Linked DNA regions of Alligator mississippiensis. The protein of the gene in region 2 purifies or fractionates together with the protein of the main gene of each other region. This does not show direct contact. Links are inferred from orthologs where the notes say so. Each region holds a gene or a part of one and is shown on either strand. Other genes may lie near its edges. The genes, in order: MAP2K1, MAP3K1, AXIN1 and DCAF7.

The links.
Region 1: the proteins of MAP3K1 (region 2) and MAP2K1 purify together in Homo sapiens (affinity purification with western blotting; 3 studies listed by BioGRID and IntAct, with this or other methods). This does not show direct contact. The link is inferred for Alligator mississippiensis from reciprocal best matches to the Homo sapiens genes MAP3K1 and MAP2K1.
Region 3: the proteins of MAP3K1 (region 2) and AXIN1 purify together in Homo sapiens (affinity purification with western blotting; 5 studies listed by BioGRID and IntAct, with this or other methods). This does not show direct contact. The link is inferred for Alligator mississippiensis from reciprocal best matches to the Homo sapiens genes MAP3K1 and AXIN1.
Region 4: the proteins of MAP3K1 (region 2) and DCAF7 purify together in Homo sapiens (affinity purification with mass spectrometry; 3 studies listed by BioGRID and IntAct, with this or other methods). This does not show direct contact. The link is inferred for Alligator mississippiensis from reciprocal best matches to the Homo sapiens genes MAP3K1 and DCAF7.

Annotation. Positions count from the first base shown.
Region 1 is NC_081834.1:4,967,510-4,975,432, forward strand, and holds the start of MAP2K1 (dual specificity mitogen-activated protein kinase kinase 1), read right to left. Parts: upstream 3,014-7,923; 5' UTR 2,654-3,013; coding exon 2,574-2,653; intron 1-2,573. UniProt on the Homo sapiens protein: Dual specificity protein kinase which acts as an essential component of the MAP kinase signal transduction pathway.
Region 2 is NC_081826.1:267,441,065-267,448,497, reverse strand, and holds the start of MAP3K1 (mitogen-activated protein kinase kinase kinase 1), read left to right. Parts: upstream 1-4,431; 5' UTR 4,432-4,523; intron 4,524-4,745; exon of another isoform or gene 4,746-5,101; intron 5,102-5,139; exon of another isoform or gene 5,140-5,461; intron 5,462-7,433. UniProt on the Homo sapiens protein: Component of a protein kinase signal transduction cascade. Activates the ERK and JNK kinase pathways by phosphorylation of MAP2K1 and MAP2K4. May phosphorylate the MAPK8/JNK1 kinase.
Region 3 is NC_081836.1:22,317,140-22,324,600, forward strand, and holds the start of AXIN1 (axin-1), read left to right. Parts: upstream 1-4,451; 5' UTR 4,452-4,665; intron 4,666-7,249; 5' UTR 7,250-7,335; coding exon 7,336-7,461. UniProt on the Homo sapiens protein: Component of the beta-catenin destruction complex required for regulating CTNNB1 levels through phosphorylation and ubiquitination, and modulating Wnt-signaling.
Region 4 is NC_081827.1:158,477,959-158,485,764, reverse strand, and holds the start of DCAF7 (DDB1- and CUL4-associated factor 7), read right to left. Parts: upstream 3,017-7,806; 5' UTR 2,808-3,016; coding exon 2,670-2,807; intron 1-2,669. UniProt on the Homo sapiens protein: Involved in craniofacial development. Acts upstream of the EDN1 pathway and is required for formation of the upper jaw equivalent, the palatoquadrate. The activity required for EDN1 pathway function differs between the first and second arches.

The DNA.
Region 1 (7,923 bases), on a different chromosome or scaffold from region 2:
ACGCTTACGTGTGCATATGAAACCAGGCTATGAGTAACTAAAGGACACCCAGCCAGTAAGTAACTTAGAATGGCATAAGTTGAGCAAATGAACTACTACAGGTGTTATTAGTTTTACACGTGCACGGCACTTTTCATTCCACGGAATCTTGAAACATTTTACCAAAACCTAGGTACTTCTATAATGTATAGCAGGATTAATTTACTTGGACATGGTAGAATTTGGAAAGGGAAAATTAAATCTAAGGATGAATTTATAGGTTAAGGCATAACAAAATAAACAACCCACAGCGCATCCTAATGAGGGTTAGTGCTTGGGGGGGAAGATGGGGAGTTCTGGGTTTTGTGATTCGTTAATTTTGCTGTATAAACGAGGACAGGTTGAGAGATGCGTGTTATACAAACCATATCATCAAAAGAACATCGGTCACCCCTCATCCCCCACAGGGCCGAATATGGGAAGCAACATCTGATCCCAAATAAGGGAGCTACACAGAAAAGCTCCTTAGTACTGGAAACTGAAAATGCTAAGACATCCTCTCCTTTATGAAAATAACACTTTTCTTTTTAAGTGACCTTAATTTCATGATTCTTTGTAAATTTTCAACCACAGGAGTGAAGGGACAAATCGGTATGTAATCCCAAATTTCCATACAGCGGTCCAGTGAATGACATTTCTTGGCAGGAGGAACATTCATCGGAAAGGCTCACTTTAAATTTAGGTATCAAAATTAATTCATTCGTTTGACACATGCCTCGGTTTCTCTCCTGCAAACTGACAATAATAATGTCTACCTCTCAGAGATATGGAAACATCAAACCAAATTACATTTGCAAAGCCCTTAAAAGGTAACTGAACAAGAAATGGCATAATTTCAAGGTATTATTATATTTTTGCCACACAATTCCCAGCAGATGCTGTGTCACTTAAACCATAACTCTCAACAGGGATCATCACTTACTGTCAGAGCAGGAAGCTGAGTTCTCAACAATCTATTTGGGCACCAAAATAATAAGCCAGATTTTCAAAAAGCACACTAGATATTGAATATTTTAAAAACTGGGTCAAGCATCACAACGAGTGCTACACATTTTGGAAGTCTCTTATTTAGGTGATTAAACAGAAACTGAGCTCAATGGAAAAAAAACAACAGGCTCTGATTGCAGGGGCTGAGCACTATCACTACATGACTAACACAGCCGATAGGACTTCCATTTCAGATGCTGTCTGAGAAGAGCCACAGCCGTATTTCTTGTAATTGTTTGCCTACCTAAGAAAACAAAAGGCTGATTTCATCCTGCTGGGTCAGGAACTTGTGGCTCCATGGCACAGCAGTTTTCAAACCACAGCCTGTAGTTGTAATCCATCACCTCAGTCTAACAATGAAGTGATGAATGCAGACCTGTTGCCTCTAGCAAACTCCTTTGGTAATACTCTACACTACAGCTAGCGTAACTGTAAGCTTCTCTAGTGATCCCGTTTTCTTCGTCTTGTCCCATAAATTCACAGATTATTGAAAAATAACAAGTAACAATTTAATCTGTGCAACCAAAATGCGAGCTAATTAGATGTCCCTTTTCACCATGCACAGCTACTCTTGGTTTAGTTCTATACTACATTTATATAAGAGGAAGGCAAGATTTTTTGGGTAGATGTGATATCTTTTATTAGACCAGCTAAGTAGTTGGAAAAAAAGTTCTTTGCAAGCTTTCAGACACAAGCACCTTTCTTCAGGCATAGGAAGGGTGTTTGTGCCTGAAAGCTTGCTAAGAAGTTTTTTCCAACTACGCACTTGATCTAATAAGACATCACATCTATCCAAAGCTTACCTGCCTATGTCCTTAGACAACATGGCTACAGCCAAGAACTCTGCAACATATACATACATACACATTCATTTGAATAGTATATCAAGGAAGCGTCAAATATTTTTACAATAATACTCTTTTAAAACCCTGCAATACGGATGAGGTAAGTGAAATCTGGATCTGATATAAAGGGGAGAAGTTTGTTGTTTTTAGTCAAGGAAAAAACTGCCTTGACTCATTACAAACACTACCTAAGGCTACCCGAACTGAAGGAAGTTACAGAATTTGCATTTTTGACTTGTTTACGCTGTGAAACTGACAAGACTTGAGGCACCACCTAGTTCTTCACACTTTCACATAATCAGTTCCTCCCCAGCTGAAGACTCATTTTCGAAGTATTCAGCAAGCAAAACAAAACCTCTATGGGAATCATTTAGATTCTTTGAATGCCAAACTATGCTATTTGCCGTGAGGTCTAAAAGCATCAGGGATTTTAAAACACAGTAGTTGAGAAGTTCTGCTCATGCTGTCCCTCACTTGTGCATTTTGTTTTCCGCACAACGATGAAGTATTTCCTACAAAACAGTGCTCTCACTTTGCATTGCTGAAGTCCTAGAGAAGATACAGCAACAATTTTCTCCAACATCCTCAGTGCACAAGACCCAGCCCGGCCACTAGCAGAACAAACACTTGAGCTCAGCTCGCCCAGCCCCTGCCTCGCCCAGCGCAGAAGTAACACCCAAGCCCTGGGGACGCCGCACTCACTCTGCAGAGCTGGTCCCATTGACGGTGGAGCCATCCGGGGTCGGATTCAGCTGGATTGGCATCGGCTTCTTTTTCGGCATTTTTAAATAAACAGAACGCGAGGCTTAAACTACTAAGAAACCTTTTTTTTCCGATCAGAAAAAGAGGACTCCCTTCAGTTAGGCAAACTTAGAGGCTCCCCTAGCTTGGAGGCGGTCTTCGCTGCTAATCAGCCCGGCGCGCCTCTCCCTGCTCCGGATTGCTCTCCGGCTACACGGGAGTGCGCCCCTTCCTCAGCTGCTCCTGATCTCCCAGCTCCAAAGGCCTCTTCCCGAGTGAGAAGCTCTGAGCTGCTCCGCGATGCAAGTGCCCTGGATCAAAATGTGCCCTTTTTCTGCTACTGTGCATGTGCAAACTTCTCGGGCGGCGCTAGTGCGCAAGTGTGCAGAGCCCGCTCATGTGCACTGAGGAAGTGAAGCTGCACTGAAGCCTTGCCCTTACCCTGTCCTTTACCCTCAATTTTACTTCCCGGGGAAGGCGTGGGGCTAGTGGTGTTGCCTAATGGGAGCTCCTCTTGCAGCTGCTCTCATCCACATCCCTTCCTCCTGGGCTCGGTCAAACTGCAAGCCGCAGAGCCATGAGGGTGGAAACCAGCACGGACCCGGGCAGAGGTCGGAGAGAGAGGAGGGAGGAGGCTAGCTTCTTGCCAGCTGCTCTGGAGCGGAAAGCACCAGACACCGACAATGCCTTCTGGCTTTAAAGACGGATTATTTTGGCGCTAATAGTTTGACATTTAACAAGCGACTTTGCAATATTGAGGTTTGCAAAGAGACAGCAGGAAGCTTGCAGGACAGTTTGGGTTTCCCTTCTGTTCACCTATTATGCACTCATTTGATAGAGACTTTTCTTAGGACCCGGTGCCCCCACTGCGTTCTGTAGGGTGTCTTTTTTTTCCAAAAGAAAACGCGCTTTTTGGTCCCTCGTGAAATAATTAATGGATCTCATGTATTGCAACTCCAGTGGACAGTGTCACTTCCAACATCTGTACATCGTCTCAGTGACTCTTGGACAACACGTCACAAGGACAATGCTCTTAGTGTGTGCCTCATTGTTGAAAACGCATGTGTCATTTGAGCAAGTGTTGGTTGTAGCTGTGTGGCTCTAAGGGCGTAGGCAGACAAGGTTCTGTGGGCTGAGGTGATGTCTTTTATTAGACCAACTAAATCGTTGGAAAAAATGTTCGTTGCAAGCTTTTGGGCACAAAAGCTTGCAAGGAACAATTTTTTCCAACAATTTAGTTGATCTAATAAAAGATATCACATACACCCAAAGAATCTTGTCTGTCATTTGAGCTATGCAACTGTGAAGTGGGCAGAAGGATTTTACTCTTAAAATACTGTTAACCTTCTGTGCCATTGAGACTATGTCTATCTAGGAAAAGGTGCATTTTAACACGTTAGCTAACACATACTCATATGTTAAAACCCTAGCTTTGCTGCGTTAGCTGGTGTGAAGTCAGTGGAACGATGCCAGTTGGTAACAGCTAAGGATCTAGTCAGGAGGGCGTATGAGAGCATTTTAGTTTTCATATGTGTTGCCTATACACGGTAAACCCTAGTAGAGAACTTAGGGTGGGCCTCAACTGGCCAACACTATTGGTTGTATTGCACTAGAGCAGGGGGTGGCAATGTTTTTGGACAAAGTGCCAAAAACACCCACAACCTCGATTTGTAAGGTCTTGGCTTGCCAGGGGTGAACAGTGGCAGGGCCTGATCCTTGTTGTGGCAGTTGAGCCCCGGCCTCTTCCCCGAGGTGAACATGCCAAGCAAAATGCCTTCGTGTGCCACATTCTGGCATGCATGTTGGGGGTTGCCTACTCCTACATTAGAGCCTAGGACCCCTAACCATGGACTAGGACCTCAAAGTGGCATGGCATTGTACAAACACAGAACAAACAGAAGACAGCCCCACCAAGTCACAATCCAAGAGCAGAACAAGAGACAAGAAATGAATACAGAAAGGGTCTGAACCATATGGCACCACACAAAGTAATACTGATGGGATCTACCCTGAAACTGTGCGATGAATGAGTCATTGCCAAATAGTTTATGAGTTTATTACTAAAGCAATGATTTTCAACCAGGGGCCCATGGCATCTTGGGGTGCTGCCATGTCCTTTGTGAGGGTGTTGTGAGGTGTGGCGTGGGCAACACACTTCAGGAAGGATGTGGAGAAGCTTGGGAGAGTCCAGAGAAGAGCCACTCATACAGTTAGAGGCCTGAAAAGCAAGCCATACAAGGAAAGGCTGACAAATATGGGCCTGTTCAGCCTAGAAAAGACTCTGGGGGGATTTGGTGGCAGCTTACCAATATATCAAGGGAGAACATCAGGGGCTAGGTGAACAACTATTCACCAAAGCACTCCAGGGGAAAACCAAGAGCAATGGTCTTAAACTCCTAGAAGAAGGTTTCATACTGGATACAAGGAAAAACTTCATGGTTTGTGTGACCAGATTCTGAAAGACTCCCAGCAGGGGTGGTACAGGCACCTACCCTGGAGATCATCAGAAGGAGACGGCACGCACACCTTGCTGGGGTTATTTGACCCCAGTGGTTTTCCTGCCCACAGCAGGGTGGCTGGACCCAATGATCTCATGAGGTCCCTTCCAGCCCTAAACTTCTGTGAATCTGTAAGGGAATAAACAGATAAGCACTGGCTCAGACTCAGACCCGCCTGGCTAATCTCCCCACCCTAACTGCCTGGCCACTCTCCAAAGAGATAAGTACTCTAATATATACTTTTTTTTTTTTTTTAAATAGGGTGCCACTCAATTCACGAAGAGTATGGGGGGGGGTGCTCAAGTCGAAAAAAGGTTTTGAGAACCACTGTACTAAGGTTTCAATTGTTATCAGTACCAATATCCAGTTTCTTTGTACAGCCTTTCTTCTGCTTCAGTTCCATCTTGAGACTTCACTGTTCCAAGTTTCCTTCTGCTTGGTACTGGAAACAGAAACCAATGATTAGAAGCATACTTAGAGATGCCTTCCTTCCTTCTGTGGGCACAGGAGTAATTGACAGTTCCTGTGGTGTCTTAGATGGTCTCATTAGAGCGTCTAGATAAGAATCAAGCTCGCCTAAGACTTCAGGCTCCTGGTCTGGTGTCAGAGCGCAAAAGTGTGGTTTCAACAGTCAGTGGCCTGAGTCTACCATGAAATTTAACTTTCCATGAGATAAAACTTGACTTGGGATTCCCAAATCTGTTGTGGGGTTTTTTTTAATGATTTACAAAATGCAGATTTTGAAGTGATATGACCCTCTCCTAAACAATACCGGTATTTATTGTGCTCATCATTTGAGAAGGAATTAATTCTACATGTGATAGGATTTAAAATCTAGTGACCTGGATTTAGTTGTAATCCAAAACACTAGTACTAGATCTAAACCTTCAAAATTAATTAATTTTAAGGGTAAAAGTAGTCTACAATAAAATCAGTATTTTATAGTCAAAACTAACAAGTAGTAACTACAGCAACTACAGTAGAAAGTATCAGATTGAGCTATGCTAATACTGCCGAGGATAGTGCGTCAGACCCAAGACCTCTTGCGTGTATATCGACAACATTTTATAGAAGCAGGACATCAGCGGCCATGGTTCCCCTGCTTTACCTGTGACAGGTTAGGGTGCTAGATCTATGTTGTGTCATGGATGAGGAGGGTAGTCTTATGTAGGCTTAAGCTTTTGGATAAGGACTTATTGAATTCAAGGTGGCTACAGGCCAATTTTGCTAGGAAAACAAGGGCCCAGCCATCATTTTTCTGGGTGGCGTAATTTCTGATTGGCTGAGGGGCCTGCGGCCCACCCCTTGCCACTGATTGGCTGTGAAGGCAATGCAGCCCCACCCCTCGCTGCCAATTGGTGGAGAGGGGCAGGGCCGTATGATGGAGAGGTCTTGCAGGTGATGAGAGGCGCTGCGGGGTGTCAGTCATCTTGGGCTGCCCATCGTGCGAGCAGTCCAGCTTCCCCCTTTCACCCTCGGTGGGGAGCCAGCATTTTATTTTCAATAAGTTTTCTTTTCTTTTTCTTTCTGTGGATTTTGTGGGCATTGCCCAATTTCACGGGAAATGCCAGATTTTGCAAAATCCACAAAATCGTTATTGTGGTAGGTCCCTAATTATGGATCATACAGGATAGTTTGGATAGGGATGATCCTGCCTAAGGCAGGGGATTGGACAAGATAACCTCTGGAGGTCCCTTCCAGCCCAGCTTCTCTCTGACATTCTCTTAAGAGCTACTGATTACTTCACTTTCATAGTTTTATAGTTGGTCGGGTTGGAAAGAACCTGAGCAGATCATCAAGTCCGACCCCCTGCCATGGCAGGAAAGAGTACTGGGGTCAAACGACCCTGGCAAGGTGTTCATCCAGCTTCCTTTTAAAGACCTCCAGGGTAGGAGCCAGCACCACTTCCCTTGGAAGGTGGTTCCAGATCTTAGCCGCCCTGACAGCGAAGTAGCACCCCCTGATACCTAGCCTGAATCTACCCTCTCCCAGCTTGTGACCGTTATTTCTAGTCACTCCTGGTAGTGTTCGGGGGAACAGGGACTCCCCCAATGCCTGTTGGTCCCCCCTGACTAGTTTGTAAATGGCCACTAGATGCCCCCTCAGCCTCCTCTTGTAGAGGCTGAACAGGTCCAGGTCCCATAGCCTCTCCTTATAGGGCCTGCCCAGCTGACCCCTGATCATGCAGGTGGCCCTCCTCTGGACCCTCCCCATGTCGTGCACATCCCTCCTGAAGTGCGGCACCCAGAACTGGATGCGGTACTCCAACTGCGGCCTGACCGGTGTCACATAGAAGGGGAGGATCACTTCCTTGGACCTGCTTGAGATGCATCTGTGGATTTCAATTTAAAAGATACTACTAAAATACCTGCTTTTGTAATTCAGTGGTAGAATCCATGTCTGCCACACAGAAGACATGGGTTTGATTCCTGATGTGCGTATAACTACTGCCATGAAAGCACCACATGTCTAAACTCAGTCTGGCCTTTGGATTCTGTCTTAATGGCCTAAAGTGGGGTGGAAAGTCTGGGCAGCCCCTGCTCCTCCATAATCCTGTCTAGGCATGTGTGTCAAAGGTCTGGGTGACCTCTTATGCATATACCATGATCCAGAAGGACAGATGGTTGTCTACCACCACTGAAATAGTTTTGGCCAATATTTTTTTGGAAGAGGTTAAATTTTTTAAATACATAGCCATTATTTAATATAAAGAACTATCATATATTATTTGACTTAGCACCAAAAATTACTTTAAAATTAGCCAGATTTCTTGAACTGCAAAACTGGCATAAAAAAATGTGCTCAGCATTTAC
Region 2 (7,433 bases):
TACTCAAAGTGTACATTAATATTGATCTTGTTCACATGGGGAATGTGGAATCTGTACAGGAGATTAATGACGAGGCTGTATGCGACTGAAATGAAAGCATCTACATCTATGTTGTTCATGCATCAGAGGTTCTTAAAAATGTTCACAAACATTGTTACATTAAGGATTTGATTCTGCAGTGGGAGGTGTGCATCTTACTTCACTGGGAGCAGAATCATGCTTCCAACTTCACAATACCCTAGTGGAGGAGCTAAGTTTTTAGCCTTATTTAAAAGCATATAAATTGTATGTATGGAAAAGGTCTATAGAATTTAATAACAGTGAAACCAGATGGGTTCATAGAAAGCTTCAAACTTGTAATGGTGCATGCTTTCCTTTCTAGGGGTTTTTAAAAATAATCTCATAGAATTCCATAGCAAGGGTATGCTTTTCTATTAAATTCTACCAGACCAGGGGTAGGCAACATTTTTGGCTGGAGTGCTGAAAAAACTACAATATCTACCTTGTAAGGTGCTGGAGTGCCAGCATACCAGAAAAACCAAACCAGGGCCAGGGGTACATGGCAGGACACACTGCATATCAATATAGTTAATAATCATAGATGTTGCCTTGTAAACACCAGGTTTTCTAAAAATTCTAAATCTGGTGACAATAAATAAAACTTCAAATACTACCTTCGTTGTTGTGTATTCTTTTTTAAGCATGTTGTGATGACAGAGGGAAAAAAGAGGAGAGAAGAGAGAGGGAAAGAAAAGAGAAAGAAAAAAGGGGAGAGAAGAGAAAAGCACTAATCACCTGGTGATACTGCGGCAGGGGGCAGTGTAGGCCCACTCCTACCTACCCTACTCCTGTCTTCTCTTTGTTCATCCACCACATCTTGGCCTTAAATGGTAGGTAGAATAGAAAAAGAAAGGAGTTGGCACCTGGTTGTCCTTGGCCTTTACAGTGAGGCGTGGAAGATCACATCCTGGGTCTTCGCACGGCTCCGCCACCTCTATACCACACCCATACCTCTCCAAAGAGATGTTGCCATGGAAGATGTTGGTTCTTTAAGGATACACTTATTTAATTCCTTAAAATAGATGTTCTGTATTCACTGCCATAAACAAGTAAAAATGCTCTCAAGTAAAAGATCTTTTCTTAGTGGCGGCCTTGGCCCTGCTTCTGACAGCTGAGTTTGGTGATGTTAGGTTGGTAGCTGGTTGTCAAATGCAAACATAAATCTGAAGTGTCAGTCATCAGATGGTTTCTCATAGGACTGAGCATGGTTTTCATTTGTGAAAACACTTGTTCGCAGCGATAAGTGGATCCAAAGACAGACACCAAGGCAAAAGCTACTTTTTTCATGCAGGCATTCTTTTCAGGAAGGAAAGACCAACATGCTGTAATCTTGAGTTGCCAGTCCCTTTCATTCTCAAATTCACCTCACAGTGATTTTGAACTTCAGTACCTAAATGTATAAGCTTTGAAAGTCAATCAGTTCCAATTCACATCCTTCAATGTTCATCCACTGAAAGTACTACAGTTCTATATCACTTACCCTAGTACCACCTGGGTTCACAAGAAATGAAAACGTGGGACCTGTTGCAAGTCTTGGAATGGTCTTATGAACTCATCTTCCAGCTGTCTTCTGTAGTTGCATATATCCTTATTCAATTGATGCTACTCAGAAAGGATTTTCGGACGGGGGAAGTAACGGAAGGCATGTGTTTTGATATCTCATCTGAAAACAGATAACTTATCACAGAAAGCTTTCTAGTCTTCAGACAGCTGAAGAATGGTTTTCTATATTCCTTGTAATCTAGTATTCAAATCATTTAAATGTGATGTGATGTCTGTCAAAAACATCAGTTTTGTTAGCCATCTGTTATCAGTAAGGTCTGCATATTGCTGACCACTTTCCTTAAGAAAAAAACTTGATGGATTTGAGACAAGCAACAAATCTCTTGAGCACATTACCTCAACTCAGCCAGCATACATTACTTTGCAGCACTAAATCTCCATATGCAGAATCCATATCATTTAAAAGTTCACAGAATCTCCTGTGTCAAAGAGGAGTGAGCAATCAAAAAGCTCACAATTTTCACAACCATTGTTATGATTTAATTTAAACCAGAAGACGAGATCATAGCACACAGGCTCTCCTGATGAATAATACAATGGAAACACATAAGAGGATGTCCAATCTCAGTTTTCAAAAGTTTAAAAAAATCCAGCTGTTTTACCCATCATAGCAGGTGTGCCATCAGTGGTAACAGAGAAAACAGAGAACACTTTATGCAGGTCAATTTATTGCTGCATGAAAATATCTTTGACAGCATTATGTATATTGTTGGCCATTGGTGTGCTATGCATAGTGCTCAAAGAAAACAATTCTTCCCAAACTTCCCCAGAGATAAAATATTGAACTATTATAGCAAGATGGGGTTAGGGATATCATTTATGTCTGTGCTTTCATCCGGTGCAAGGCTCATCACATCACAAACATGGAGGTCTTGAGCCATTTGTTCCCTAACATTAGTTGCCATTGCATCTATTTGCCTTTGAAGAGTCCTGGATGACAAGTGGCATTTCATCAATATGAGCAATGATGTCTTTCTTATTCACAAAATCCTAAAACAGATCCTCAGCACATTTTAAGAAAGCATCCTTTAAGTATTCTCCATCTGTAAAACACTTGTATATCCAAGAAGCTATACTACAGCTACAACGTAATTTGCCTGGGTGGAAAGAGTATTTCTAGTTACGAAACTAGGAAAGCTGGCTGGCTGTTTTTGGAACGGATCAAAAGCTTTTCAAATGGATTCATGTTCGTCTGCTTCATCAGCTCCAGAAAATTTGGCTTTGTACTTGGCTGGAAAATGGTGCTGGACGCTGGAAGTACAAAATACCATACTCTTACTGCACAGACGACAGTCAACATGATCTCCTGGCTGCACAAACCCACACAATTCTCTGCATGCTGGCTGAAACTTCTGAATACCTAGCTTTTGGTTTTTTACTATCCAAAAAGTTTTTTTACTATTTCAAAAGTTAGAGTTTTACTATCCGGGGTTATGTATCTATATGGCTTCTAACTGTAAATTTTCCTGAAGTTCACGCTAACAAAACAATGTAAATAGGCAAACAGAAAGCAGACAATTAAAAAGAATTGAATTATTTGAAGTGTGTGTAAATCTAGGTAAGTGTTTCCAAGAAGGCAATCAGAGAGCAGGAAAAACGCACAAAAAAAATGAGCAATATGAAGTGTTTAAATCCAGGAATGCAGAGGAATGGCAAAGTAGAGAGATCAAAATAAACTGAATACGAACTGCTTTAATGAAGTAAAAACCTGAAAAGTGTGAACTGGTTTAAGCAAGTGAAAAAAACTGAGTACAAAACGATTTACCAGAGCAAAATAAGCCGATTTATGTGCAGAGAGCGCAAAAGCTGAATATGAACCAGCTCAACAGAGGAAAATAAACCGAAAGGTACAAAGTGGCTTGAGAGAAGTCTGAAATAATTTAACAAGGCAAAAAGAACTGAATACACAATCTTAAACTCGTTTTTGCAAGAACGGACAAACTACTGGGCTAGAAGCCGCCCAGAGCCACGTGCTTACCTCATATAAGCGGGAAGAGACGCACAGCTGGGGGGCGGGGGTCTGTATCCCGCCCCCTGCCCCCACACTGTGCTGGCCCCGCCCCCAGCCCCGCCTCAGGCAACCGGGGGCGGGGACCCACCGGATCTGCGTAGATGGCAACAGCTGCCCGCGCAGCTCTGGGCGGACTGTGGTGGAGGAGGCGGGGCTGCGCTGTCCTAGCCCCTCCCCGTTGCCTCCAACACAGAGCCGATGCGGGCTCTGTTTGCAGCCCGCTCTCTGCCTGCAGCAGCAACCCAGGGCCCGGGCGGGCCGCACACAGCCGCGTGGCCCCACTACAGGGACGGTGCTGGGGGTGGTCAGCCCCACAACATTCTCCTCGCCCCCCCCCCCGCGCGGCGCCCGCGTCCTCCCGGGGAGGCCCCGCCCACCCCGCAGGGGCGCGCCGCGTCGGCCTCTTCCCGGGGGCGGGGCCAGGCCGGGAGGCCCCGCCCCTGCAGCGCAGCCGCTGGCCCCACCCCGCCCCCCGCAGCGGAGCGGAGCGCAGCCCCCGCCCGGCGAAGGCTGGCGCAGCCCCTCCCGGCCCGGCCCGGCCCGGCCCAGCGCCGGGAAGAGGCTGGCGCCGCGGCGGGCTCAGCTGCGCGGGGCCGGCGGCAGCAGCAGCAGCGGCGGCGCGGGGAGAAGCGGAGCGGAGCCTCCCGGCCCCGGGAAGAGACTGGCGCCGCCCGCTGTTGCGGGCTCAGCTGCGCGGGGCAGGCGGCTGCGGCGGCGCTGGGACGGGTGGAGCCCGGCCCCCCCCGCCAGCGGGAAGAGGCTGGCGCCGTGCGCCTTCGCGGGCTCGTTGGCGCGGGGCAGGCGGCGGCGGGGACGGGTGGATCCTCCCCCCCGCGCCCCCCCCAGCGGGAAGCGGTTGGCGCCGCGCGCGCGCCTGAGCCGGCAGCAGGTCAGTGGCGCGCACAGGGGGAGGGGCGGGGCGGGGGTTGCGCGGCCTCGGGCCCCTTCCCCGCCGAAGCACGCGCGCCGCAGCGCGGGGCAGGGGCGGGGCGGGGCCTGGGCCGCACGGGTCCGGCCTCTCCCTGGGCCCGCGTGCCCCGCAAAATGGCGCACGCGTGCCGGGGGCTGCGGATCCGTGCCCTGGGCTCGGTCTGGCGAGGACACGGTTAGTGACTGAACTGCAGCCATGTCACTTCCAGCCTGTGGCGTGACCGCCCTTCGCCCGGCCGGGATATGCTGACAGGCTTCACGTCAGCTTCGTGCCTGCACGTTTTGCAGGATAATGTAGGCTCGAGCCATGGGTATCCTTTACCGACTTTGTAAGACGCTGTTTTTCTTGATCCCGACGCTTTGAAGAGGAGAGGAGTAACCTGGGGACCAGCCTGGCAGGCATCACTTGGACAAAATCGTTGTTGCACCTTCTGGTGTCTCTCGCCTGAAGTAAGGACTTTGGGTACAGGTCCAATTTGTGACCAGCTTCAACAGCGCCTTGCAGGCCACTTTGGATGTGTAGGCACAATTACAAGGGTATTTGTCTTGAACGCTGTTTACTTTAATGAGTTTTCCTCGTCGCTGTAGTTTGAGCAAAATATAAGTACACTTCTTTGAATGTCTCAAATGGGAATGTCTCAAATCCTGTGGCAGTACACATACTTATCTTTGCTGTTTTTAGAAGTGATCTTCATTTATTGGGCAAAGCACTTTAAGTCTCAGCTGGTCTTCCCCACCTGCATTAAAAAAACACAACAGTTCTTTGTTGAAAGCAAGTGAAGATTGGATTTACTGTCACATGAGAGAGAAAGATAGCTGCTTCTGCTTTTTGGAGAACAAGTACAGATTGTGAAGCCTTCGCTGTTGTATTACTTTGTTCGTGGAATCAAGTCAGAGGTCCACTAAAAGACTTTTTTGTATCCGTTGGGGAAGTTAATCACAATTTATGTGAACAAATGAAATAGTGTGCTTCTCTCTCTCTCTCTCTCTCTCTCTCTCTCTCTCTCTTAGTAGGGCAGTGTTTTCTGTCTTGTGTACAACTTCATGCGTTTGAAACAGTGGACATGAAATTACAGTTGCAGTTTATTTTAATTAATTTAAAGTATCTGAGATATTAACACCTAGATTTCTGCATCTGTATCGTTTTATGGACTCAAGTCTTATTCGGGAAGAGCTCCCACTGCCATCAGAGGAGAGCTGTGGCTGAAGAAGGAAGGAGTGTGAAAATTGCCCTCCTCTGCTAGGGAGCTTGATATATTTGGGTCTCCCTTCTTGGTAGGGTCTGTTACGGAAATGCAAGTAACAAATAATCTGTCTTTCACTTTTAATGAAGGATTGACAAATTTTTATTAGGGTTTGTTTCTTTTTGTGTACAAATTTGGTGCACAGCAGGACAATATTTCGTCTCGTTTTAGTTGTTTTTAGAGTGTGTTTTTTTTCTTCTTTTCTCAAGGTCTGTGTTACAGCTTTAGAGCTTACTATACGATTTTTACCATGACCTTTGCATTATCTTTAAGAAAACGTGTACATCCATTAGGAAAGCATAAAAGTGTTCCTAACTGCTTAAAAATGTTCTTCCATAAATCACTATAGTATGTAAGCCAGAAAATTACTAGAGTATTACTGGAAAATTACTGGATTTGTTCAATTACTGGATTAAGAAGATACTGCAAAAGATAATATATTTGTGGCATCTACAGTTATCACACTGTCAAGCTACTTCAGTATCTGATTCTCCCTGCTGGTTCAGAATGGGCCTTTTTTCCAGAAATTAAAACGATACAACTATTTGGGTTGATTTATTGTATTGAAAATGTAGGACCCAGCCATTTCTGATAGTGCCCATATCAAAAATCATAATTTAGTATATTTTGAGGATGTTGCTTGAAAGAAAATACGTTTAATGTTACTCATCTGCTTGTGACATTTCTGCACTGAACAGGAAAATGTTATTTCCTGTCCCTAGATACTTTTATTTCCTTTGTCTCTACAATAAAAGGGGAAAAGTTCTGTAACATTTGATCAGTGCGTTTTTAGGCCAACAAAAACTTCTAATCCTCCACTTTATCAGTCTTGGATACATGTTGTTGCCCAAAAGAGACGTTTTTATTATTTTTAATCACAGGACAGATAATCTATGAAGTGCCTGTTGTGTCTGCCAATCATGCAAGTCAATGTAAATTAGTGGACTGTTACTGGCATAACTATATATTTTTGTAGGTGAAGTTGTGTTTATTAGTAGGTGAAATTGTGTTTAGTAGGTTAAGTTGTTACTCTTGAAAAACGAAGAATAACAAATATAGAGCAATTTATGTATGTATATGAATTAAGTCCTTTTTATTTTGTGCGAATGTCTGGTGGGGGGGTACGTTTATTTTCAGACTGTCTGCTTAATTGAATTTTAAGTGGTGGATTCTTTTAAAAGCAAAGTTTTACTCCTTTTTAAAGAACTAAATTCTAGAAGATCTCACAGGATCACATGTTTTGGCTAGGCATGATTTTTCTGGTGATTTTAGCAGATAGCTTAGTAGAATCAGTAAACCCTCCAGACTGCTCATTTGTAGTTCAGTGCCTGGAAATGTTTTTCATTGTTGTCAGTGATCATAAGCAGCTACTTTACTGAAGGTCAAAATCATATAGGCCATAGATTGTTTTAATTTTACAGTTAGGAACTGGCTTCATGTATTGTCATAAATATAGTTGATTAGAAGTGCTTTTTTTGTTGTTAGTATTTCAGAAAGCAAAGTTGAACTTACTCCAGCCTTACTATCATGACTTGCGTTTCTGGTTTAAACAGATTTGAGGTTTTTAAATCAGTTGCTTGAAGCTTTTCCTTGCACAGTGGCTTAGAAGCATTATGGCACTTTAT
Region 3 (7,461 bases), on a different chromosome or scaffold from region 2:
CAGCTCATGTGGGGACCTGCTGCCACCTTGATGCCAGAGTTGGGGAGGGTTCCCACACGATTTACCCTGGGCCTCGCACCCTCCTTTGGCCAGCTCCAGTAGGGGCCCAGGGCATATCAGTTCATGCAGAGACCCGCTGCCACCCTGATCAGCCCCCTGATATCCCTGGGACCCCGTACTGGAGCTGGCCTGAGGAGGGTGCGCAGCCCGGTGCAAATCGGATTGTGTGGGGTCCTGCCCCCACCTGGTCCTGGGGTGGGGTCAGGTCCCTGCACGAGCTGATTTGCCCCAGGCCTGCCTGCCGCTGGCCCCAGGCGGCAGCACCAGCTTCCTGCGATCCGGGAGGCAGATTGGGGGTCTGCACACCTGGAAGCAGTCCAGCACAGCCCCCGCAGCCATGCTGGGGGTGTGGGCAGCCCTGATCTGCCTGCTGGATGACAGAGGCTGGTGCTCCCACCTGGGGCCAGCAGCAGCACTGATCGTCTCGGCACTGGGTGGGCAAAACGTCGAAACAGCATCGGAACAGCAGAATGGTTTCTATGAAATGGAACAGTGCTTTCAAAACTAAACGAAACTTGAGGGAGGGCTGCAGGGGCTGTGCCGGACTGCTCCCAGGAGTGCAGGCCCCCGATCTGTCTGCTGGATGATAGGAGGCTGGTGCTGCCGGCTGGGGCCAGCAGCAGCACTGATCTTCCCAGCACTGGGTGGGCGAAATGTCAAAACAGCACCGAAACAGCAAAACAGTTTTGACAAAATGGAACAGTGCTTTCAAAATGAAACAAGACTTGAAATGAAACACTGTGCCATCAAAACGTCGAAACGAAAGTCGAAGCAGAACAGCACTGTTTCACACAGCCCTATTATGCACGTCTGATTTTGTTACTCTATAAGGTGCATCTCTATCATGTCTTCTGCTGAATGCCTACATTGACTAGGTCCTGCATGAGGGAATCATCTCCTAGCCCCCTGGGACTCATTGTGGGATCCCTGCCTAGGTAGCATAGGTGACTGGTGCCTCCTGAGTCACGGTGGTCACTTGCCTTCCCAGCAGCCAGTCAGTGACCGGGGGTGGTAATCGCCCTGACCCAAAAGTGCCAGCAGCGTGCTGGCACTTCTGGGTCAGCACAATTGGCCACGGAGGGACCGCAGGGATCGCTCCTCTTGGTACACCTATCCCCGGCCAACACTTTTAGTGGGGCAGCAGTGCTCTCACCTGCCCCCCCCACCCTCCCGGCCCTTCGCCTAAGTGGGGAACAGTGGCTGTCAGGGGGTGCACCAGCACTCTCAGGGGCTGCACATGCACCCCTGTGCACCCCCTACATGTCACCACTGCTGGGCAGGCCAAAAGGAACTCCCCACCACACCTACAGATGAGTCTGTATTGCACCCTGATCCCATGAGCCACCAGGGACCTCAGCTGATGGAACCTCGACAGAGCTGTTGCCACAGGTAAGCATCTGTAATGCTTCACAGACACCCCCAATGCAGGCAAAGGAAGCAGGGGGAGACCCTGGCACATGCCTATCTGGAGTGCACCAGGCTGCAGGCCTTCCAACACCTCCTTCAGAATCTCTGCTGAGGGCCTGGCTGCACTATTCCCTGCATCTTTTCATTTATGCACTCCCCATCCATGGTCCCACCAAGTCCCAGGACCTCCTGGTCAACCTCCTCCAGGCCCAGCTTAGCTGGCAATGTTCCTGACCAGGAAGGAGGTTCTGGCTGGGAGGACCCCTGGGGACTATGGGGCTGCTTTCTTGTCCCTAGTCCATTCATGTTTCCGGGCAATTTCACTAGGCAGTGTCCACTAGCTCCTTGGACTTGTTCAAGGACCAAGGCACTGTCTGGTGTGCTCTGCTCAGTGTCCCCCCTTGGTGCACTCATTTTGATCTTCTGCCCTTCACTCCCATCCCTGTTTTGTTTTTCAGTTGTCCCAAGAGATCCACGATGTGCCCTTAGTGTGCCCCCCCCAATCAAGTGGGGCTTATAGCTTTACTTGTGGGCTTTGACCCACAATCTGGAATGACACATCTAAAGGCTGGGCAACCCATTGCCACCACATCTACACACTCGTGGTCTGCACCCTTTATCGTCCTGTCCTTGTGTCCTGCCCAGAAACTATGTGGTGAGACACCCTCAGTGAGGACAAGGATCCCTGATGGACGAGCTTCTATTCCAGCCTGATCCTGTGAGCCACTGGGGATCTCAGCTGGTGGCTCCTCCATGGAACTGTTGCCACAGGCATGTACCTGACATGCTTCATGCATACCCCCGACACCTCCCCCTTCTGTGAGCAGAGGGAGACCCTGAGACATGCCTAACCTGAATGCACCAGGCTGCAGTCCCTTCACCACCTCCTCCAGAATCTCCTGCTCCCTCACTACTCCCTGCACCTTTTCATTTATGCCCTCCTCATCTGTGGTCCCATCAAGTCCCAGGACCTACTGGTCAGCCTCCTCCTGGCCCTAGCCAAGTTAGCAATCTACTTGATCAGGAAGGAGGCTCTGGGTGAGGTGACCCCCAGGGACTGCAGGGACATCTTCCTGTTTCTGGTCCATTCAGGTCTCTAGGCAGAGTTTCACTGGGCAGTATCTACTCTGCTGGCTCCTTGGACTCATATGAGGGCCAGTGGGCACTGTCCAGCACATCTTGCTTAGTGTGCCCCCTTGGTGCATTTACTCTGAACATTTGACCTTCACTCCCGTTCCTGTTTTGTCTTTTGTCCCACAAATTCAGTTAACACATACCCAATAGCCCCTTCTATTAACGGGGGCGGGGGAGAACTGTTGCTCTGTGAGCATAAGGCTCATGTTCCCAATATGTGTCAAACAGCCCTGTCTTCTGAAGAGACCTATACCATTGCCTATTTTGTCCTAAAGACTAGGTGCTTTCTTTTGTGGATCCTGACAACTGAGTTTTAATACAACCGGGTTCCTCATGTTCCCAGACAGACAGAGTTGGAAAGGCAGTCTGGATCCTAGGTCAATGGGAGGTCCCATTGGTCCCACCCTCCATTTGTATGGCAGTAATGTCTGCCCCATCCAGTAAGGCAGTGCTAGCAGCATGGGTCCCCGTTCTCTCCCTAAGTACTTGTCCCAGGACCTGTGGTATATTTGCTAATGTAGTAAGCTACCTCCTCACCCCACCAGCCCCCTGAACGGTGGATCTTGGAGCTAACACAGTATGAGAGCAATACTCTGTCTCACAGCTGTTGCCCCAGGTTATAGGGTATGAAAGAAAAGTAGAAGTTGAAAACATAGTTGAAGCAAATCACACTGGCAGCTGCACAGAGACAAGTAGCCCAGGTTGTAAATGTGTCATTAAATTGCCCCTGCCTATTTTGGGGTGGTGGGGCACATCTCTTTAAGGACTGCATCATGTTTGCAGCTTTTTGAACACAGGATGTGACTTCTTGTGGCATAACCCATCCACGTGCTCATGGCCTGGGCTCTTCGTAGACTTGGGGAGGTATCACTTATGCTGGTCAGGTTTTCAAACTAGGAATGATAGATGTTTACTTTTTATGTTGATGAAAGCTGACATTTTGGTGTAATCATGTAGCTCCAGAAACAGGCCCTAGGCATGGGTCTGTGCCTTCTCCAAACCACAAGTCACATCAGAGATGCCCATGGTTGGGAGAAAACTACAATCCCCAGGGGGCGTTGACAGCATGGCCTCTACTTCTTCTTACTTCTAGACCTTTTGTACAGGCCTAGGATTGAAGGGGCAGAAAAGAGTTGAAGGCCAGGATATCTAAAACAGAGAGTTTGCAGCTACTGCAACTAGCATCAGAAAAAGGAAGAAGCTGATGGACCTAACATTTCTTTGTGGAGATTGATTAGGTTATGAAAAATAAGAGGGCAATTACATTTTAAGTTTTCAAGTAGTTTATGTCTGAGGTGTTAGCCAAGTGTTGGTCATGTGACTTGGGTTTGCTTAGCTACAAGACCCGGGAACAGGGAGAAAACCATTACGGACAGATTTAAAAAAAGAGAAGTTTTAAATGTTTCTCCTGCAAAACGTAGGAACTTTTTGTTCTTTTAAAAATGATATCAGAAACTGACCTCGTCTCGGCAGAGCACATTTAGAGCCCGCATTTTGCTCGCTAAGGTGTGAAAAAGAAGACGGAATCCCTTTCAGTGCAAATGTCAGAGCTGTTCCTCTTAGCGCCTCAGTGCCGCTATCAGAGAGCACAGCTGCGCAAGTGAGCCGTCTGCCCGCGTTTCCGTAGCAGTGTTTGTCAGTCAGCTCCCTCCGGACCTGGGGCTGGGTCTCCCCGGTGCCTCAGGCTCTACCCTTCTCCTTCCAGGCCAGCGCTGGCCCCGGGAGCTGCGGTCGCGCAGCTCGGGCCGCGCGCCCGCACCCCCACCCCTCGCACCTTCCCTTCCCTTCCCTTCCCGCGGCGGTGCAGGCCGCAGTACCGGGCGGGGGCGCGGGGGGCGCGGCGGAGCGCTCGCGGGCGCCGGGAGGCAGCGGCGCAAGCTGAGCGGCGCGGGGCTCGCTGCTCTCCGTGTCGCTGCCAGAGCAAGCGGCTGCGGCCATGGGGGTCCCGGGCTGCCCGCTTTGTGCTGCTTCCCCGCGGACGTCGCCGCCTGCGGCCCCGGGCTGCAGCCACTGTTGAGCCGCATGGGCCGGGCCCCGCGTCGCTGCAGCTGCTGCTCCGAGCGGGTGAGTGAGCGGCGGGCGGGAGGTAGCTGCGGAGCGCAGCGCAGGCCCTCAGCTCCAAGCGCCGAGGCCGCGGGGCCGGGCCGCGCAAGCCGCCCCATTGTGGCGCGGGGCTGGCGGCAGCGGGCCGCTCCGCGCCCGGCGCTAGGCCGCCCTGAGCCTGGGGACTCGGGCGCCGCCGCCGGGAAGGAGCGGGCCGAGCAGGCGCTTGGCCCTGGGACCCGGCCTGCCTGTGGGGAGCCGGCGTCGGGGCCGGGAGTGGCCCTGTGGGCTGGAGGCGCCGCTCGGCGCCGGGGTCTTGCAGGGCCGGCGCGTCGGCCCGTGCGGCGAGGGAGCCGGGCCGCGCGGCCTCTGCTCTGCCCCGCTCTGCGTCGCGCCCCCTGAACTTGCCTGGCGCGGCGGTGTGCGCAGCCCTGAGCCCGGCCGCCCTCCGCTAGCTCCCCTTGTGTCAGTGGCCGGAGAGACAGCAGTTTATTCGGGCATAACCATCGTCTCCCTCCCCCATCGGCGTCCGATGTGTAGTTCCTTTGCTGGAACTACCTACCTGGAAACAGGCAGGCAGGCTAAGCGCCAAATGGTGCATGGAAACCTCTTGGTTGGGAGAACTTCAGGATGAGTGCTGTCAGAGAATGATAATTGCCTATGAAGTCCTGTGGTGGAAATGCGAATCTTGTGCACCGAGGCCTCCACCCCCAGGTGTAAATGGAACAGATAGACCACAGCACCTGTGTAGAACAGTTTCCAGGACCTGGGCCTTGGCTTGTACTCTTTTTTAATCTGATGTTCCTTGATTTATTTTGATCCATCTATACTGGCAATTTCCAGAAGTCCTTTGATGTTATTTATCCTCTAGAGGTAAAATGCCAAGTGCTTCTTCAGGTGTGAGGAACAGAGCCTTTTTTGTTTTGTTTTTGCAACAATGAGCAACATGGCTTATGTCAGCTGGAGTGTGATGTTCACCTCTGAATGAAATGGCTACAATATCATTATGTTGAATATCTTTGTTGTGAAAATCAAATTAATTCCGTGACCTCCGTTGCTCTAGTGCTGGGTGAGAAATTTACAACAAACATGGCCTAGCATGAAATGATCTACTTGGTTACAGGTGTTAAGAAAAGCCTCAGAATAGCAACTGAATGTTCATGCTTGTTTTAATCCAGTAGTTGTAAAAACATTGCTTGGTCCCATGATCAGATAGGTATAGCTGAAACATGCAGTTATTCAGACATTAAAAATTAATTAGTTTGTTATGTTGTTTCCTACTTTATTCTGTTAGGATGTTCAGGGCATTGAGGAAGTCTTCTCTTTTTTAAGGCCAGTTGAGAGCAAAGGAAATGGAAATGTGTCTGAAAGACTTATTCATCTGTGGAGGTGATCTTTGCATGAGGGGCTTGTTTCAGAATGGTTTCCTTGGTATATTTTCATGTGCAATTAAGATTTTGTTTGAAGAAGTGATTTATTAGACAGCTGTAGCTTTATAGCACTCAGGTCTTTGCGATTACTAGTGTTTTTTGAAGATTTAAATTGTATTGTCTTGATACAAAGTAGGTATCTACATTTTTATATCTCCATCCTTTTCCTTCCTTCCCTATAAAAAGCTACTAATCTTTTCTTATATTACATGAAATGAAAGGTATTTACTTATGTTTCATTTAAATATTATTTGCTGCAGACCTGAGAAAATTTCAAGTCATCACCTGAAATTGTTACCTTGATGTACGTCTTGACATACATCTTCTCTATGCCATGTTTTCTCAAATTACGTTTTTGGAAAATGTAAAAAAACGATACATTTAAACATCAAGACAACTTGAGGTGATGATTTGAATTTTTCTCAGGTCTGCAGCAAATAGTATTTAAATGAACCATCAATAAATACCTTTCATTCCATGTAATATAAGAAAAGATTAGTAGTTCTTATAAGAATATACTCATTTGTTGCAAAAGTTTAATTTAGATACCATGTAAAATATCTAGAATTGACAGCATATTAGGATTTTAATTTTATTAAAGGCTCTGGTATAATTATTCTGGTGCCACAAATATTCGTACCACTCAAATTGCTTATTGATTAATGTGATAAGATGATGCAGCGCATTTCAAAAACTGCTGGACTGTAGAGGCAGTTCATATTGTAAGTACAACTGATTGTATTGAAGGCTGTCTACACTTGATTAAGTTATATTCCTGGCTTAAGTGCCAAATGGAAATACATTCAGAATCGTCCCATGTGCCCCAAAAGAAATTCCAAACCATTCTGGAGACATGAATTTACCTGGTGTTTTATTTTTGCATGACTAAACACTATATTTTTTTCTAATTTAAACTTCATAATGAAATATGCACACTGAAAAAGTGAATTGAGTGTCCCATTTACATAATTATCTACAACCATGTTTGAGGATTGTTCATGGTGGTTTTAAAATTTGGATAACTCAATAATAAGAAATTCAGGAGTACTGGAATACTGTACCAAGAGGAAGACTAGGAACATAATCCTGTGAAGCAGAAATAGCCATTCCAGACTCTTAGGATATCTCTTAGAATATGCAATATCTCTTAACTTTGTTCTCATTTATTTCACCAGGATAAACACGTTCATGTTGGAAATACAAACAGTGGGGATTTGAGACTTAGGCTGTTCTGTCCTTGTTCCTGTGCATGTAAACAAACATGAATGTCCAGGGGAAAAGTTTCCCTTTGGATCTTGGGGGAAGCTTTACTGAAGATGCTCCAAGGCCACCAGTCCCTGGTGAGGAAGGTGAACTAGTTGCCACAGATCCAAGGCCAATTAGCCAT
Region 4 (7,806 bases), on a different chromosome or scaffold from region 2:
GACAGCATGTAGTTTGAATGCTTTAAAACTACTTCAAATCTGAAAGGCAGAACAGCCTAAAAGCAGACAGATGGGACTACTACAGGCTACAAGAACCCTTGGAGGATCCCAGTCTTAGGGAATAGAGATGGCATAACACCAGCTTTGTTCCCCAAACCACAAACTTATTTTTGGTACTTCTCAGCAGCCAGACCACAAAATGTGGCCAGTACTCTTAAGCAATCCAATCTAGTCCAATAACTGCTGGGGTTTATTATATTAGGTCTTCTAATTACAGTAACAATATTTACAATAGACTGCAACCTCATAGCATACATAGCCTGACTTTTTAATCAATGCCTTGATCTCTTAATGAAATGCATCACCATTGTAACCTCTCAGGTTTGACGCCAAGAAGGTATGACACAACAGCATCTAGTCAATGAATACATATCAGGTGAGGACACAGTGTTGGTACAGCAGAGAGTCCAACAGTCAGCATCAGTCAACTTATCACAGAAATACTGGTATCTCAGGTGCCACAGCCTGGAAACTTGGTAAAAGTTGGCTTTTAGTGGCTACCGCTATACTCATCTTTCAAGGAGGGCATCAGTTTATCCTTTGTCCTGTAAAGTTTTAACATTCAGAGTCAAATTATCCACTGCACAGAGTTTTCAAAATGAAAAGCATTTTTTTGCCCTTCCAAAATAGGTTTTATTTAAGCCTTTTTAAATGAGTAAGAATTCACCTTTAGAATGAAATGAGGCTCAAAATTTTCAGATCAGGAAAAGAATTTTTGGAGGAAGTTGATTGCATAGGGTTTTAAATGAAAGTATGTTCCAACTGGAACTACATTAGTTATGGTGACAGACAGCCAGAAACTAACTTCTCTGGGCCCAACAATGAGCAATTAAGCAGCCCTGTTAAGCTTCACTAGCTTCTGTCAAACAGTGAGACACAAGTTGGTTTTTACCCTCCCACCATATGCTGGTAAACAGTGAAACCTAAATACTTCTGCCTGAAAGTGTACCACTGGTTATTACAAGTAACGCCTACTACTATAATTGAAAGGAAAAAAAAAGAAAATTTCACTTTCAGTCCATTTGACACCACTCAGTGTATTTGTTTTATCCTGCTTACACGGTTCTTTCACAACAAATGGGATATTTAAGCAAAACAGGAACTAATGGAAGATGGTAGCACCATAGGCTATTTTGAAAATTATTAATTAAAAATTACTCTGCTCCCAGAGGATCTCCCCCCATAAAACTCCCCACTTGTAGGAAAAGAACATCATGAAGCCAAACTGTCAACTAAACTCTGTGCTGGTCAGAAGTAAATTAACCATCAGTGAATAAATTAACTTAGAAAGTACTTTATATAATGCTGTACAGACAATAACTTAATGATTTTAAGTGAAGTCACACCATGACTGAAGAATTCAGTCTATACACCACATTCAACATAGTCTGTAACAGGGACGTCCATCTGTCTCCAAGTTCCCTCCCCACCTCCACTCTTTAGCTGCCAGCGAGTGGAGCAGCGCTGAGAGCAGGTCCTGGGCTATGCAGGGAAGAAGAGGGTGGGAGGATCAGGACCCCAACCAAAGTGGGATTGAGCATAAGCAACAGCTGGGGAAATCACCCATGTTGTGGAACACAGGAGGGAAAGGGAGGTGAAGTCATGTGCCCATACTTGAGTGGTACCGGGGTTGTGGGGGTGGGACACTGCCTGTGGTGGGCTTGCAGTACAGTGGGAGTGGTGGGGAGGTGAAGAGCATCTAGATGCATGTCACGCTCAGTGCAGCCTGTGGCCCCCAGCGGTGCAGCCCTCGGGGGCTCAGAATTTGTACAGCCCTGCTCTATAATATTTATTCCTTTATTTCATCTCTAGCATCACATTTTTCCCATAGGATGGGGAGCTCCTGGGGTCTGCACAGAGTGGACTGAACCAGGGCCTGCAGAAGTGATTAGCTAGGGTGAGCCTGGAAGATGAGACTTCCGACTTGTATTCAGTGTGGATAAACAGGAGAAGCAGCCCACCCTGCCAGGGACAGATAGTGAGGACTCACTTCCCTGAGGAAGCCAAGGGAGCAGAGGGAGACCTGGAAAGTCAACAAGGGACCTGCAAACGTGAAAACTTTTATCCCTGCATGAAGCTTTCCCACTGGAATGAAATCTCGCAAAAGCCTACAAGGGGGAGCCACAAGAGTTGTGCTCCACAGCTTGCCAAGGCTGCCCGGGTGGTGCAGCAGTGCGCTAGGAAGCCCACAGCCGGGCATGTGCCACGCCAGAGCCTTTCCACCCAAGCCCCTTGAAGCAGCATGGCCCTGCTGCCTCCCAGGTCGGGAGGCTCCTTTAACACCTAGGCCTTTTCCCAGGAGCCTCCAGCCTTGCTCTGGAGCCACAAGCAGCAGCTTCTGGTCTCAAACTGCAGCAAGGGAAGTTGAGTTTGGATATTAGAAAGACTCTCTCACTAGGAGGGCAGTGAAGCACTGAACAGGCTACCAGAGGAGCTGTGGACTCTCTCCATCCTTGGAGGCTTTTAAGGCCCCACTTGGCACAGCCTGGGCCAGGATGATGTAGCCGGGGCCGCTCCTGCACTAGGCGGCTCCCGAGGTCCCCTCCACCCCCCGTCTCCGCGGCGCAGCCCGGGGGCCCAAGGGGGGAGGGAGGGCGGGCCCAGCCCACCTTGTTGTTGTACTCCTCCACGAAGCTGCCCAGCGCCAGGCGGAAGCGCTTGTCGGGCCGGACGCTCCAGTTCATGGCGTACACGGTCCAGGGCGCCTCGTACTTGTAGATCTCCTTCCGCTTCCCGTGCAGCGACATGGCGAGGCGCGGCGAGCGGGACCGGGCCGGGCCGGGCCGCGCGCGGAGCGAGGCGGGGGCTCGCGGGCCGGCCGGAGCGCGGCGCCACGCGGGCCCGAGGCAGGCGGCGGCGGTAGCCGCGGGCGGGCGGCGGGCTCCGGGCCCCGAGCACCGGTGTCCAGCCCCGGAGACAGCGAGCGCCGCGGAGGCCGTTTGAGATTCGGCCGCTCACACAACAGGAGCGGAAACCACGCGGGGCGCCCCGCCCGTTGGAGACCGGTTGGCTGCGCCGCCCGTCACTCCGAGGTGGGGGCGGCCATTGGGCAAGCCGCCTGCCAGTCACAAGCCCGCCGTGTCCCTATTGGCCGTTTTAACTTCCATTCTGAGCAGGAGCTCGCTGCATTGGGAGAGTTCCCTGCCGCTCCTCTTCGGCCCGCCCCAGGCGCGCGGGATGCGCGTTCTCAACATCTCATTGGTTGCAGCGGGGCGCAGTGGCCAGGCCCCTCCGCGAGGCGGGTCGCGCAGGCATGCTGCCACCCTATTGGCTAGCGGACGTGTCCGTTCGGGGTGAGCTGTCGGGCGGCGGGGAGCCCTGAGTCGGCGCTTCGAGGCGGGCTGGAGTGTCGGATCGAATCCCGCTCCCCGCGCCGGCCTGGGCTTCGCACGGCAGGCTCCGGCCCTTCAGCGGGAAAAAAGCCCCGCCCCCGTTGAGGCGCTGCAGTAAGGGCCGGGCTGCCGCTTCCCAGAGCGGGTCCTGGCAAAGCCACCACTTTTGTCCCTGGCTGCAGCGGAGGGTCACTGCGGAAGGAACGGGAGCTTGTGTGATGCTCAGGCCCAAAAAGCCTGCCCCACATTCGGGGGTAGCCCAAGGGCCTGGCTTGCGGGGACGGGGGCCTTTTAGCAAGGCCAGCACAGCCCTGGAGACGAAGCGGGAGGGGAGGCGCTTGCTCAGAGAAAAGCCTGGTGAGCGTGGAGCCAGTCTCCAAAGGCCCACTGCACACTTGGCACCAGTGCCACCAGCCAGCATTCTCCACCTCCGCGTCCAAAATCCCTTGCAGTTGTGCTGCAGCTGTGCGGCACGTCACTCGAGTCAGGACTGTTCCCAGGAGCAGGCCGAGGCACGGGGGCCCTCCACCCTGGTCTGCTTGGCTCCCAGCGTGACCGTGTGAAAGCTACTTTCCTCCCCCTGCCTCAATTGCCCATCTGTAAACCAGGGATGGGACAGCTCTGACTATCACCACTTTGTCCAGTCTGTCAGATATAGGAGATTGGGAACAGTGCTGCAGTAACTGTGTTGGGCTAGGTAACACTTGGGAAGCAAGGTTTGGTAATAAAAAATTCAATCTGTTCCCCCACCCCCAGGCTTAGTTGGCTAACACCATATTTTCTGCAACCTAGTTGTGTTCCCCTCCTCACCCCCATCCCTCTAATGTTAGTCCCTTGCTCGGGCGATTTGTATTTCCCTACTGGCTTTGTCATCTTTTTGGATTCACAATCCTAAACATTGCTAATAAAATTCAATCTGTATTAGGCCAACTGTGCAATTGGGAAGAGGTGTTTGTCAGCTTTTGGGCCCAACGTGCCTTTACTTGGGTCAGTTTCCTCAATACATTTTGTGCCCAGAACTTAATTAATGTCTCTCCCAGCTATTTGCCTAGTCCAAGAAAAGATATCACCAAATACGTCCTGCTTCCATCACACAGGTTATGAGTGCCACATTTCAACTTTTTTTCCTGTGCTAAAGAAAACGGGGCTTTGATCCTTGAGTGAGGTCCTTCGGTATTACTATAACAACAATAACCGTAGCAATGAACTGTTCGGCACTTGTAGAGGGTACATCCTGTGCTGAATGATTTACAAATGCCTTGTCACTCTAAGACACCCAACCAACAGCTTGCAACCTAGAACATTATCATTAAGCTCATCTTGCATGTGATGATATTGAGACACAGGGTGAGAACAGTTGCAGGGGCAGGACCATGCCCCATCGGGGACTGCACTAGGCATTCTGAATTCCCCAGTGGTATTTTCCCTGGTGGATTCTGCAGTACCATGTGCAGGAGGTGACCATATCACTGGATGGGACAACACACACATACAGCAGGAATCCACAGGGGCAGGTACTGGGACAACTAGACTGTGAGCAGTGCCTTCCCACAAGCAATTCACTTTGCTGCAGTGCTGCTTTGAGCAAGGACATCTTTATTATTTGGGTTTTGCTCGCTTGTCTTTGACTGAGACAAAAGTTCATGGAAGTTCTTAGAGGTAGACAAGGAGTCAACAAAGCAGTATTTTCTATATGTACTTAGTGGTGATTAAAAAGCAGCACCCCTGTCTCTCATCTCTTTAAAGAGCAAGGAATCACCAGACTGGATTAGTGCAGGGTACATGTAACTCAGCATCGTGTCTCCAGCACATCTGTCTATTCCAGAGGAAGGTGCAGGGAGCTCTGAGGTGGATAATTCTGGAGTAACCTCAACTCATGGGTGGTTGGCTTCTGCCCTGAAGTGTGAGGCTTTATTATCCTTCTTACTTCTTTAATCCTCTCTAACTCAATCCTGGATGCTCTCAGGATTCATATAAATCTCAAATCCCTTTTTGAATCCTCCCACACTTCTGCCAGTTCAGACTAGCCTTCTGTGTGTGGCATGTTGGCTATGAGCAGGACAGATCCGGTGAGAATGCTGACGTGGATTAAAGACACTGCCATATAGGATCTGCAGAAGCTCCATTGCCTTTTGGATCTCCAGGCTGAGGCTGGAGCCCTGTGGGGGGAAATGCCTCTGCCTGGAATGTCCCTGCTGCAGAAAGCTGATACCGACATTCTCCTGAAGTATAAATAGCTGCATCACTGGAGCATGTGTGTAGCCAGAGATAAGGATATGAGGCCCAAGCCAGACACAAAACAGCAACAGGTGCTGGAGAACTCCTTTGCAGCCAGGAGTTGCAGGGTCCAGCATTTGTAGTTGTTTCAGGCACAGGCATTAACTGCAAGGGGCCTACAGGACAGGTTTTGATTTCCTGCCATCCTGTCCTGAAGGGAAGGTGAGATGCTCTTCCATTCTGCTGATTCCTCCCTGCCTGACAAGGAATCCTGCCTGGCTCCTCCAGACTCTAAAGAAGAGTAAATTGTCTTTCAGGAGCAACCAATTTGTACCAGGCTGTAAATTGGTTGGTGGGCCTGCTCCCATGCAGGCAGGCTTTGTCCCCTTTGGAACTCCTCAGCCAGTCCAAACAATAGCCCATAAAACAAACTGTAACCCTTAATCCAAACAAATGAGCAAAACAAATCTTCAGCCTTTCTCCAGGCAGCAAAAGAGGCCATCTTAGCTCTGGCCCTTCCTAGAAGCAATCTCCACTGGGGTTTAGTCTGCCTCCTGGCCACAGACTGCTCCTTCTCCAGTTTGAGCTCCTTGCTCTCTCTCCACTTGGGCTTTTAACTGCTAGTTCCATAGTTTCTAGGGTCAGCAGGGACCTGAACAGATCTTCAAGTCTGACCCCCTGCCCTGTAGATCCCATGGCACATGAGGTTTGCTGCCTGCCTGGAACTCGGATTTGGAACGTCACGGCAATGATCCCAGACCTCATCCAGCCCTCTGATCACTACCCCTTGGTCCTCATCCATGTGGGCACTAATGATGTGGCCAGGAGTAGTTCGGACCATGTCATGAGAGACTACAAGGCTCTGGGAGCCAAGCTTAGGGAGACGGAAGCACAGGTGGTTTTCTCATCTGTTCTTCCAGTGAGCAGATGCGGATGGCACCACAAGGCCTGCATCGGAGAGGTCAACCGGTTGCTTCAGAGCTGGTGTTACCGGGTGGGCTTCGGATTCTTCGACTATGACCCTGCACTTCCATGCAGGAGACATGCTAGGGCGGGACGGGCTACATCTCTCCCCAAAAGGTAAGCGTGTTTTCTCTTCCAGGTTGGCTGATCTCGTACGGTGAGCTTTAAACTAGGTTCATTGAGGGATGGGGATGCAGAGGTGCAGGAGGACACTTCGATGTCAAGCCAGGTGACACGAGCAGGAACAACCCAGGTAAGTGACAAGGGCCCGGGCAAGCTTGGGAACAAGAGGGCAGCATAAACATCCATAGGAGGTCTCAATTGCCTCTACACAAATGCTAGAAGTATGGGGAATAAGCAGGAGGAACACACCCTCCTGCTAGCTAGCAAAAACCCAAACCTGGTTGGGCTTACAGAAACCTGGTGAGATTCTACTCATGACAGGGCAGTAGACATCGAGGGCTATAGGTTGTATAGATGAGATAGAGTAGGGAGAAAAGGAGGGGGGGAGGGGTGTACCGCACTATGTTAAAGAGCAGTACATGTCCTTGATGATCAGGATGGGTTCAGAAGAGGGGCAAACTGAGGCACTCTGGGTTAGAATGCAAGGGGGATGTGGGGAAAGGGACTTGTTAGTGGGCATCTACTACAGACCTCCTCACCAGGGGGATGAGCTGGACCTGGAGTTTTCAGGTCAGCTCATGGAGGCTGTAAGGACAAGGGATGTCATTGTCACGGGTGACCTAAACTACCCAGACATCTGCTGGGAGGATCAGTCAGCCAGGCCTAAATACTCATGTAGGTTTTTAGCCTGCATACAGGACCTCTACCTAACCCAGGAGGTACATAATCCCACCAGAGAAAATGCCTTGCTGGATTTGGTCCTTGCCACAGGCAATGACCTGGTGAGGGATCTGCAGGTGCTCGACTACCTCGCTAGTCACTCACACTTGGGCTCCTACCCCAGAGCTGGTTGCCCCACTTAAAGGGCCAGACTACTCTGCTACATTTCTCAACATACAAGAGTAAAGTCTGAGATTCCCTTTTCCATGTTCAGTCCCTAACATCTGCTAAGTCTGCACTAGCATGTGCTGCTCCAGGGCAACAGAGGAGGTTGAATAAATGGGACTGCAGTGCCAGGTACCAATGCATGAGCTGGGGATTGGCTTTCTTTATCGTGTGTAGTCATGTCAGGGCAGCCTGGTTCATGACTATAGTAAAAGGGCCCCAAGAA